Oreochromis niloticus: one gene and its partners. The protein of the gene in region 1 purifies or fractionates together with the protein of each later gene. This does not show direct contact. Links are inferred from orthologs where the notes say so. Each region holds a gene or a part of one and is shown on either strand. Other genes may lie near its edges. The genes, in order: mad2l1, anapc1 and kif20a.

Region 1 (3,600 bases):
GAGCACCTCGTTGGTTTCCAGACATGTAATCACCAACACCAGCTTTTGCACAGTGCACTCAAAAAGCCACTCTGCAACACAAAAAGAGCAAACAAATTTTTAATGATGTGTTGTCATGAAAGGTGAGAGATAGTTAAACTCCCTAAAAACATAATACAAAGATGTAGAGAATTTTGTATCCACAACTATATCCAAAAGATCACGAGTTCTACGTCTGTGAGAAAAATAGCCATTCTGAATATGGGCTGTAAATGCAAATGTACACTAAATATTGTACACATTGTGGCAAGAATGACCACCCTCAACCATAATGTCTTTATCTAACCAACATCATCAATAATTCAGTAACCATTCTGACTAACACCAATTCTTAAAATCCCAATAATCAAGTTAAAACATCTTTAGAACTTAAAGGAGAAAAAGCACTTATACTCTGTGCTCCTAGATATGATTTGTATTCTGTAATTTTACTACTCTTAGCATTACACAGTTGAGAGCTTCAGTGATTTGACATAAGCACCCAAAAATATGAATATTCTGATATGAATTACATTAACTAAATTTGAACTGAAAATCCAGAGACATTTATTCTATTTAGTTTTATTTATATTGCACTAAAAATCACAACAGTCACTTCAAGAGACTTTATACTTTAAAGTAAAGACCCCCACAGGCTTAAAAAGAAAAACAATCAGATGATCCAAGAACAGCAAGCACTAGGCATTGATGGGAATGAAAAACTTCTTTTCAACAGGAAGAAACCCGAGGAGGCAGCCATCAACAGTTGGGGGCATTGGATTTAAGAACAAAATAAAAAATAAAATATAATATTACAATGGCATCACCTTGGACAGAAAAGGGTGCACCGATCTCTTTCCTCATTCACACACATAAGTATTTATGGCAAAATCAAAAATTGGCAAATCAAAAATGAAAAAAAAAATCTAAGTGTTTTTAACCAGAAATAGCTTGTAGTTCACCTGACAAGAGCCTAAGAGTAGCTTAACACAAATTTGTGTAACATGGGAATGGAAACTCACGTGTGCTGCTTTGTATGTTACTTAACGTTGATCATAAGATGCCAGGTCATACCAATTAAAATCTCAGGCATGAGTCTAATAGGCATCTGAGTTCATCCAATTCAACACAACAAAAAGGGGAGGGGGAAATGCACCACCATGTGGCCCTACTCAGAAATCGCAATTAACAAGTTACTATAAACTATCATTTATTGAGTAAAGACCGATAACCGAATTATCAAAATAAATAGACAAAATCATTCATTGTTCACAAACATCATCTTATTTTGTATTTCAGTACGGCTTAAGCCTTTACTTTTTCTTGTTGAGTTTTTCCACTTTCTACTTGGTTGTGTCACGAGTGGAGAAGCCCACTATTGAGATACCTTTAAGTTGAGACACCACGTTAGTCAGATAGTTCTTCAGCTTGAGGTCAGTAGTGAGTTGGAGACTCATGTCATAGTGGGTAACTCTGGTAAATGTCTCTGGAGGATAGATGCCCCGTTGGTACAGGATGCTGTTGATGCCGAAAGCTGTTTATGACAAAGGGGGAAATCAAAGGGTTCAAATACGCCAGAATTCTAGTATTCGTAAAATTTAGAGGCTTATGTGGTTCAAACTTAAAAGGGATAGAAGAGTATAAAAACAACTACACACAAACAGCTAATAACACGAGAGAAAACTAACTGGGAATCAATGAATATATTAGCTCGGCAGAATAGAAACCATATATGGTGTACATTCACGATTCTCACTACAAGGGCCGAAAACTAGACAGTCTTTACAAATTATTCGGTTTGAAGTTGTGAATTGACGCTTATAGGATACGTCAGGCTTAAACACTTTATTTTTGATCAACAGCTTGTCATGTGAGTGCATACATGCTGCGTTGATGCTAATATGTTATCGGGCACTATGTAGGCCCAATAGCATATTAGCTTTACATGCATGCATGTCGAAAACGAGCGACTAAAAGATGAAATAACAGAAATACTTACAAAAGAACTCGGCTACTAACTCCGCGCTTCCTTTGAGAGTAATTCCCTTCAACGTGCTTGTCATTTTCTTAACACTTTGGTTGAGTTCTCAACAATAAATATATTGTACGTTTTTCTTTTAATTCTTCTTCTACGTCTTCCGACTTCAACTACCCGCCACCCAGTTTGAATTTTGTCAGCTTCCACACAATTGCGCATGCGTGTGAGATTGGGGCGCAAGGTTGATGACGTCTTAGGTTACGCTTACAATTTTGCGACACTAGAGAGCAGTGTAGAATAATAATTCAACGCCACGGTCTGAACGTTACACAGGATTGTTGGCATTTATTTATTTTCTTATGTTAAAGCCATTTCTATCTTTTAATTGACTGTATATTATTGTAATGTGTCACTGTGCAAATGACTGAAGTAATAGGTTAATATTGTAGATACCACGTTTTAATAATCCTAAAGGGGTCCAAACAACCATTGTATGCAGACTTGGAAAAGTCCCTCAGCTTTCACACAAAAGAATCAAAATTGCAAAACAAAAGAAAGACAATTTCAGTTAATGCTAGCTTTTAAGTCTTGTTGGCGCTGTACTTCTCTTTTTGCTATGTGCTTTTTTATATATATATCATAGATGTTTTTTTCTCAGTCAGTAATTGGCTTTTTCTTTCTGGAGGAAAGCCATGCGGGACCTGCACACCTCCAGGACCACTAAGTGGGCAGATTAGATTTGACCAACTTCTCCCAAAATTAATGAAAAGCTTCGAACCTTCTTTGGGAAACTTGTGATTCATGAAAAATGGCTTCTTTCCAGCTGCAGCTGGTCTCATTAACAAGGTCCCCACACAGACACAGGATATGAACACCACACATCAAACTGTCAGAAAGTATTATTATTTACACATCTGTTAACCTTCACTTCTAATTCGTACGTTTCATTTACATTTGAAACATCAGACAGTACTTAGTAGGTGAAAATTTACAGTCATTCATATTTAGGTCAGGTAATGTTTTTTTCTCAAATTTCTATTTCATATTTACAGTGTTTTGACTATTATGGTACTTGGATTTTCTCACACTTTGTATATTTTTTTTACATACCCCAGTGATCTCAGAACTTTGTTTTCCAGACAATTGTTCCCTGGTATCATCTCCTAAGACAAATTGATTTGGGTGAAGAGTCGAACGAACTGTGATTCAGAAGATACCTATGATGATAAAACCTATGAAATATGATACCTCTTCCAGGAAAGGGATACCTCAGCCCTACCACTGAGGGGCCCACTGGCAAGTGTATGGTGGCCAGGTCATAACTCATGGGGACCTGCCAGACTCTGACTGAATTATCCACATGGGCCAGTCTGTCTAGTGGGCCCACCACCTGTAGGAGAGGCTGTAGGAGTCAGGCACTATTTTGCTAAGGGAGGGGGTGGACTGGTTCTAGGAGGGAAACAGCTGGAACTTATACCACAGGTTGCAAGATAGGAAATACATATGTATGGCCTCACCTCAGTGGGGATAATAGGTTCTGAAACCAATCTTTTTTTGAAGTACTGCCCACAACTAGAGTTGGTTTTGATGAAAGATAAATGCAG
Region 2 (3,831 bases), on another chromosome or scaffold:
GAACAGCAGAAATATGGGGGTAATACATAATTAAATTACAGCTTTAAATAAATTTAATAGATATTCAAAAACGTTTTATTGCTACAAGACATAATATTTGTAGTATTAGAATAGAATAGAATAGAATAGAATAGAATAGAATAGAATAGCCTTTTATTGTCACTGTTACAAGAACAGTGAAAGGCAGTTTGGCATCTCTCCATGTGTGTGGAGTACACAATAGCGTAAGTATTTACACAATAACAGACAAATTTACATTTACACAAGAAAGATATGCACAAGTTATACATACACCTGCAAACATACACCCACATACACACATATATGTATATATATATATTTGCATCCGTACATGCATACACACACATATTTCCACATACACGCTTACATCTATATACATACACATACATGCCATCTAACAGTGCAGTGTGATCAGTGATATTGCACATTGAGTGTGGTGTGTGTGGGGGGGTGGGATGATATTGCACATTGAGTGTGTGTGTGTGTGTGGGGCGGGATGATATTGCACATTGAGTGGGGGGAGGGGGGGGGGTGCTGTTGGAACTATACTAAATAATGTTATAATAAATACAGTTTAAAGAGGTAAGGGTGTTGGTTGCATTGAAGTAGCCTATTGTGCAGTATTATTTATATCCTCGACATCTCTGAGCCTCTTGCTTTCCTTTCCGAAAGCTTTCACTTTACTGGAAGCCTCAAGTGCAAATTTACCAATGGTCTCTAATAGTAAATGTCCCTAAAGAAAGACATAAACAAATGAGTTTCGTTTTATTTATTTATTTTTCATCTTCAAATATCTATATATACCTAGATTTTCTACAAATACTGTTGGTATTTTATTTTTTAAATTATATTTTATATTAATTATATTATATTTTTAATTTGTGGCTGAATTACTTATATAAAACATCCTGCTCATCACAGTCTTTCTTAGTAGTGTCCATAGCGCTGACGAAGGCAGCCTATCAGCTGTCAGCATATCGCCTCCTCGCTGCTGATTGGCTGACTCGTGGAGGAATGGGATGTCGGGACAGCAAAGATGTCCGCGCTCATTTGAAAACCTGCTATAGGCGAATACGGAATTTGCCACTTGTCTTTATGTTTGTAGGGTGACAACGTTGTGCTCAAGCGAGACGCATTGAAAGGAAAGATAAGGACTCCGCGACAAGGGCCAGACTATTCCTTATTATCAGGTTAGCGGCTAAATGTCTCCCTGTAAGCTTAAAGCTAGCTGCAGCTAATGGTAGCTAGCATGCTAGTCGGGCCGTTTCAATGGTGTTTAGTGTCAGCATGCAGACTCATAGCTGACTGTCAAGTTGTATATTTATGTAATTTACAGCGTCTTAGTGTCTGTAGAGTACCGAATTTTGTTTGTGGGAGTTTTTGAGGTAAGAACTTCCAGCTAACTTCTAGCATGTCGCGTCTATCAAAGTCAACAGAAACTTGCTACGGTGGAAGTACTGTGGAAATTGTTAATGAGATTTCTATCCCCTACTATGTTGACCCCTCTAACGGGATAGTTTCAGTAATAGTAAAGGTCCAGTGAGCCTGCTTCAGCCAGCTAAGTTGTCGATGTGTTAATAGAGAACATTATTTAGCCACCAGTAATGCAATCTGTCCTACAGTCAAGTAAATGAAATAAAGTTATTTACGCAGAAGAAGTTTATTTACACCTCATCTTATACTCACTGGTATTTACTGTACTTTACAGATAGCCTACTGATAAAAGTAATCTCATCATTAATGTTATAAAGAGAAAATGAAAGAACAGTTTATGTGAAACTCTTGGTTCTTAAATACTACAGTAAACTTGTCTCGAGGATCCATACTTTATTTTTATCGTGTTAAATAATCGATATGAATACTACAGCTAAACGGACTGGTATGGCGCAAATTGGTGATGCTCTTCAGTTGTATTGTGTCTGGAAAAAAGTCTTGCTTGCTTTTAAATACTGTCATTTATACCTCAAACTCTGTTCTTCCCAGAAATAATGCTGATATCTGAAACTCATGTCGGAAGTCGTGTATGAAGAGACAGCCACGATGATTGCCGCAGGGGAATTGCAGTCATTTGTCCCGTTTGGCCGCGAGCACTGCAGGAACCATCCAAACGCCTTCAACCTGCAGCTCAGAGAGCTCCAGCCTGCCTCCGAGCTGTGGGCATCAGATGGTGCTGCTGGCCTGGTGGGGTCCCTGCAGGAAGTCAGTCTGCAGGAGAGAGAGAGGGTGAGAGTGTCTAGTATTATGATCTATAATGTTTCATAATAGGAGTGGGCCATCTAACAGTCTTATTTAATGGATAGCCTGAATTGTTCTCCTGACCTGCTCTTCAGAAGAACTAGTGTGTATTAAACAGTAAAAATATAAGAAGAAAAATGGTAAATGGAATACACCTAAAGGATTTAATTTTTTTTCATTAATATATCTTTAATTACTTTAAATCTTTACTTATTTTTTATTTATTTTTTACAGTAATATAGTCAATGCAATTGTTACAACACTGCTGCACTGCTTTCATGAAGGCAGTACTTCATGTGTTGTTAAGCTCAAATGTGGTTTTGATTTGGTTTTTGTGTTGATGTGATTTGAATGGCAGGAATTTTGGCAGCTTAGGAAGGGCTGCAAGGGAGTCAAAGAGGAAGATATGGAATTTGAAGAAGAACTCTATGCAGCAGGAAACGTGGTTGTCTGGAGCCAGGGTAGTAGGGCTCAAGCTTCCAGCGTATATAAGGCCTTCACTGTTGACAGCCCAGTGCAGCAGGTCTGTTTCTGATTGTTTTGTGTACTATATGGTCTCTCATAATTGTGCTTGTCCATTCTCATTTCTAAGGGCAAATGAGGGACCATGTTGTTTTCTGTCAGGAATCAGTATGGCTTTTGCTTTACTATATGGATTGTATATCGTCCGCGATGATTGTCAGGATTCTGTGCTCTAAGACTTGAAACAGTTTTTTTTTTATTATCTCCAGGCCTTGTGGTGCAACTTTGCTGCTCCTCACAAGAAGAATGATGGTACTGTGTCTTTTTGTGCAGTTTTTTGCTTATTCATATTGCAGTCCTGATGAACAAAACACAGAATGTATTTAATGTTTTGCAGAGGAAGAAGTGGAGCTCACAGTGTGTATTGTCCAGAGTAGCTGTGTTAATGTTCACACCATGACTGGAAAAGACTTCATCTCACCACTGCCCTTCCAGGTGAGGTATAGAGCAATGGGGAATGTTTATATCCAGAGAAGGAGATGGGTCTACACATGAGCCACAAAATTCTTTTAAATCTGTGTGACTCAGTTGGACCTCCACTACCTAAACTTCCACCTCAACACAGATGCACGCTGACATACAGCAGTAACTGCAGGCTTCTTTGTGTGTCTCCCATGTTCCAGAACGCTGCTGAATAAAAGGATAATTTGATTAGTGGATGCATAAGTCTCTGAAACATTACCCCACCTCGCAGCTGAACTAAAACCACACAACCCACCACATTTGGATTAGGGATATTTCTCAGAGCCATTATTGGGTAACCATTTTCTGGTTAACCAGTAATGATAGAAAATTTGCATCACTGACAGTGGGAAGTAAGTGTGTGTGAGTTTATGTGTGTGCATAGCTATGTGTATTTACGAGTGTCTTTCACTCAGTAGTCTGTTGCACACCAACAAAATATAATTTGATTTAGGGATGTGTTTTCAACATTTGAGTTTTGTTTTGTTTTGTTTTGTTTTTAAACTTGAGGCATGTGGAGTTCGTGATAAAGCATTTTATATTTTCTTACGGGAAAGGTTGGACACACACTCTTACTAAATAATTGAATTT
Region 3 (3,831 bases), on another chromosome or scaffold:
TGTGCATTACATAACGAACAAACCTCATAATTAACCCTGGGATTGATGTGTCCAAGTAATATCTGCAGAACAGAAAATAACTCACCCTGAATGGTGTACGTCTTTCCAGAATTGGTTACACCGTAAGTGTAGAGAAGTCTATTTTCTCCTCGAAGCACATCGTTTATCATCGCCTTCATTGTGCTCTCATAAAACTGTTGCTGCGCTGTCTCAGAACCAAATATCTAAGGGGAAATTTAAAGAAAAAAACATCTTCACTGTTTTACTCTAGCATTCCCATTTTCCCCACTACATTAAAGTTCTTCTCTGAAAATATTATCACGTGATTACCACAGTTTCTTTTTCTGAATGGGTTTTCAGGTTGGAAACAATATGTTTAAGTAAAGAGAAGCTACAAATATGACTCTCCTACCTTCGTGAAACTGAACTTGTGAATACTCGGAGTGATGCCTCGTTCTGCTGCTCTCATGTTCTGAGAGTCGTTTGGAGCTTTAAGCAGCAGGGTCTCTTCGTCTTGGATAGCCACACAACCCTAAAGGAAAAACAAAATAGACTCTCAAGTACAGTTACAGAGTACTGAAAGCTTTTATCCCAGAAGAAACAACAATGTTGACCTTAATGTCTTACCTGCTCTTCCCCTCTGGATCGCTCCGTGTCCGTAAGTGGTCGGATGCGCAGGAAAACCTTCACCCTCTCAGCGGCCCCTTCATCGCAGCTTTGAGGTTTCACTGCTACTTTCTAAACACACAAGCATCTTTGTAAATGTTTTGATGGTAGAATGGAAAAATATTAACAAGTGCAACACCACCAAACTGCAATCCCAGGGTTTAGAATTTTACATATTGCATCTCGCTCTACTGCAATACCCATCTGGGCTTTTAATGCCTATTTAAAGCCTGCCAGACTGAAGAAAGCAGCAGTGTTTAAGAATCAGTGAGGTAACACGTGAACTGGAAATGTGTCAGAATGATGTAGTTTAAACAGAATGTTATACATCTCCTCTGAAAGAAAAGCGAGGTATGAAATTATGGCTTTGAAAAACTGTTACACCTCTGGCAATATTGATCAATTATATATATAGACACACACAAAAAACAAAAAATCTAATATAGATTTGCTCTGAACATGTTTTGTTATACCTGAGGGACGTATGATGTTTTTTTATTGGGAACTCTTACCGGCCCTGTAATGGATGGCCTTGTGTCCAGGCCCGGGGAAATAACAGAGATCTCTGGTAGACGTGGTCTGGCCAAACCTCCGTGCTCTGCTGCTGTAGATTCAAACACAGCCATTTCCTCCTCCTCATCAGAGGGGCATCCACACGGAGATGACAAAGACAGCGCCATGCCCGTCTATCTGTTCCAAGAATAACACGTTTTCATTAGTATGTAGTAATTCTATTAAAAGAGGATTGCAAAATGTTTCAAACATGGGCTTGACTGAGGGCATGTGCACAAGTCACTTCGAAAGAATAATATAGGCTTGTGTTGGAAAAGCAGCAATATACAATAAAAGATGAAAAACTAAACTTACTCACGAGTGTGTGAGTGTTGTTTGTTATAATGATGTAATGATGTCCAGTAGTAAATGGGATTATTCTCTGTTCAAGCAGCATTTCATTGCTATGAATTAGTTAAACATGGGTGTGTCGTCATCAAACAAGCTGACAGGTAAAGGAACACTAGTTTACTGTTTAAAGCCAAATTGAACCTGCTTAAGTAGTCAAACAGGAAATATTTCCCAGGCTTTCACCAGACCAGACAAGTTTGGCATTAGTGCTGATCAATACAACTGCTCTACAGCAGGTCCTACGGCACTGGGTTTCTGTAGTGCTTATTCTTTGTAGCTATTAAGATGAGCGATTTTAGAAGTCTCGGTTTTTCAATTTCATTCCCTTTTTTAAAAATTCAAATGGTATTCGTGTTACACTGAGCAGCATTTAAAAAGTATAAAATCCACGTTTAGCATTCAAAAATCACTCGAGGCATCTTCACCTTTCACTGCTTGTTAAAGCAAGCCAACTTTGTGCCTTTAAAAGAAGATGTCTCAGAACTGAGTGCAACTAAAAAAAACCCTCAATGCTGCACTTTTACATGTGCAAGTAGCCAAGTTTAGCCCCCAGTAAGGACGTAGTAAACGGAGCCTATATTGCAGTGAATTAAACAGAGTCACTTTAATGTTTATACTAGCTAACATAAAGTAATAACAATGATTTCTACCAATATACCAATATATGCTAACTAAGAGATTTGCTTCCTGGTTTTAAATGGGAAAATCGTGCAGTCACTCAAAACCAAAAACAAGCACACAAAACACGTGGATATTGCATTTAGCTTAACACACACTTACATAACCTCCGTCAAACAGTTATAGTTACAATCTAATATTAATTTTTGTAACTATTAAATTAACTTGTTTAACGTCGTATGGCCCACATTTAAGTAGAACTCACTTTAACTTGCCTGGAATGTCCAAAATGTGCCTGGTTTCCAGTAAGCTCGTTAGCTTAATGTTTACGATAGATCGCCAAAAACCAACGGTGAGGTAAAACTGTATCAGTTCAGCAAACCCTCTTTGTCTGGATCTCTTAGCACCAGCTGAGCCGCTTTACCCGATTGCTTTTTGGGTTTTTGAACAATGCGCTTCCCCACAGGGAGGCTCGCCGATTGGGTAAAGTGTATCGCTGTCTTCCCTTTGATTGGTTAACAGGACCTCGCATGGCGCATGGGCTTTGGAACGTGACGTCGTGGGAGGGGCTGTGGCCAGGAGTTTTGGTCGAGGTGCCATTTTAGTAGGCCAAACAAAGCACGCGAATAACATCAGCTATGGTTCGTACTTGCTGTGTGCTGGGTTGTAACGTTAGATCGCACGACCGGCAAGGGAATAAGCTTGAAAATGGGCTATCTTTTCATTGTTTCCCCACCTGGAGGCAACGCGAGGGAGCTATTGTATCGGATGTTACCAAAAGAAGGCGTCTAGCCTGGATAGCAGCTGTGAGACGTGCTGATATCCAGTTCACTACCATCCCCAGATATCTGCTGGTGTGTTCCAGACATTTTCATTCGGGTAAGTTCTAAATAAGTTCATATTCGTTTTATTTTCGATGCGCTATGAAGTCATAGCAAATTAGAACAAACATCTTAATGAGGGATTTTGCAGAACTGCGTTCTGTTTATGGAGTTGCTAATTATTTAGCATAATTGCAGGCAAACCAGCCTATGAAATGGATGAAACAAATCCTGACTGGGTTCCAACGCTATACATGGGGCACTCCGAAATCCCTGCTTCAAACTTGGACCGTCACAGACGACGAATGCGACGAAAGCAACAAAGAGCAGCAGTCGGAGGTAGGGCTGTTCATATAACGATATATATCGGATGAGATATAAAAACGTCTATCGTTTCATTTTACGTTTGTTTCGTGGTGTCGCAAAATAAACTGTTTACGGCAATATTTTTTTCATCGTTTTGATGGTCACTGTAGTGGCTATATTAATTTCTTAAAGTTCTCTCTTTCTCTTATTTTTAATATAACCACACTACGGACGGACAAGCGCCTGTTTTTATGCGTTGTCGTTAGCAAACCTTTCACAATAAAGCTCAAGATCCTGTTGAGACTTTTCAAAATCAACTAAATCACGTGAAAGAGTCTGCAGAGTATTTACGGATGAGAAGCAAAAAAAGAGCTAAAAAATAAACCTTTGACTCAAACGTTAGAACAGGCTTTTCCCCGCAGCACGCTGTGTAATAAATACTCACAAAGAAAACGGCGGCTGTTACAACTTATGTCTAAAAATGTATCGTTTCATGCATAAGTTAAAACACTCGACT

Evidence for each region.
Region 2: the proteins of mad2l1 (region 1) and anapc1 purify together in Homo sapiens (affinity purification with mass spectrometry; 3 studies listed by BioGRID and IntAct, with this or other methods). This does not show direct contact. The link is inferred for Oreochromis niloticus from reciprocal best matches to the Homo sapiens genes MAD2L1 and ANAPC1.
Region 3: the proteins of mad2l1 (region 1) and kif20a purify together in Homo sapiens (affinity purification with mass spectrometry; 4 studies listed by BioGRID and IntAct, with this or other methods). This does not show direct contact. The link is inferred for Oreochromis niloticus from reciprocal best matches to the Homo sapiens genes MAD2L1 and KIF20A.

The regions. Positions count from the first base shown.
Region 1 is NC_031967.2:3,973,841-3,977,440, forward strand, and holds the start of mad2l1 (mitotic spindle assembly checkpoint protein MAD2A), read right to left. Parts: upstream 2,220-3,600; 5' UTR 2,082-2,219; coding exon 2,018-2,081; intron 1,553-2,017; coding exon 1,406-1,552; intron 72-1,405; coding exon 1-71. UniProt on the Homo sapiens protein: Component of the spindle-assembly checkpoint that prevents the onset of anaphase until all chromosomes are properly aligned at the metaphase plate.
Region 2 is NC_031978.2:10,099,405-10,103,235, reverse strand, and holds the start of anapc1 (anaphase-promoting complex subunit 1), read left to right. Parts: upstream 1-1,018; 5' UTR 1,019-1,211; intron 1,212-2,004; 5' UTR 2,005-2,028; coding exon 2,029-2,244; intron 2,245-2,614; coding exon 2,615-2,779; intron 2,780-2,987; coding exon 2,988-3,030; intron 3,031-3,115; coding exon 3,116-3,213; intron 3,214-3,831. UniProt on the Homo sapiens protein: Component of the anaphase promoting complex/cyclosome (APC/C), a cell cycle-regulated E3 ubiquitin ligase that controls progression through mitosis and the G1 phase of the cell cycle.
Region 3 is NC_031975.2:12,692,222-12,696,052, forward strand, and holds the start of kif20a (kinesin-like protein KIF20A), read right to left. Parts: upstream 2,632-3,831; 5' UTR 2,453-2,631; intron 1,357-2,452; 5' UTR 1,347-1,356; coding exon 1,179-1,346; intron 739-1,178; coding exon 628-738; intron 533-627; coding exon 413-532; intron 225-412; coding exon 86-224; intron 1-85. UniProt on the Homo sapiens protein: Mitotic kinesin required for chromosome passenger complex (CPC)-mediated cytokinesis. Following phosphorylation by PLK1, involved in recruitment of PLK1 to the central spindle. Interacts with guanosine triphosphate (GTP)-bound forms of RAB6A and RAB6B.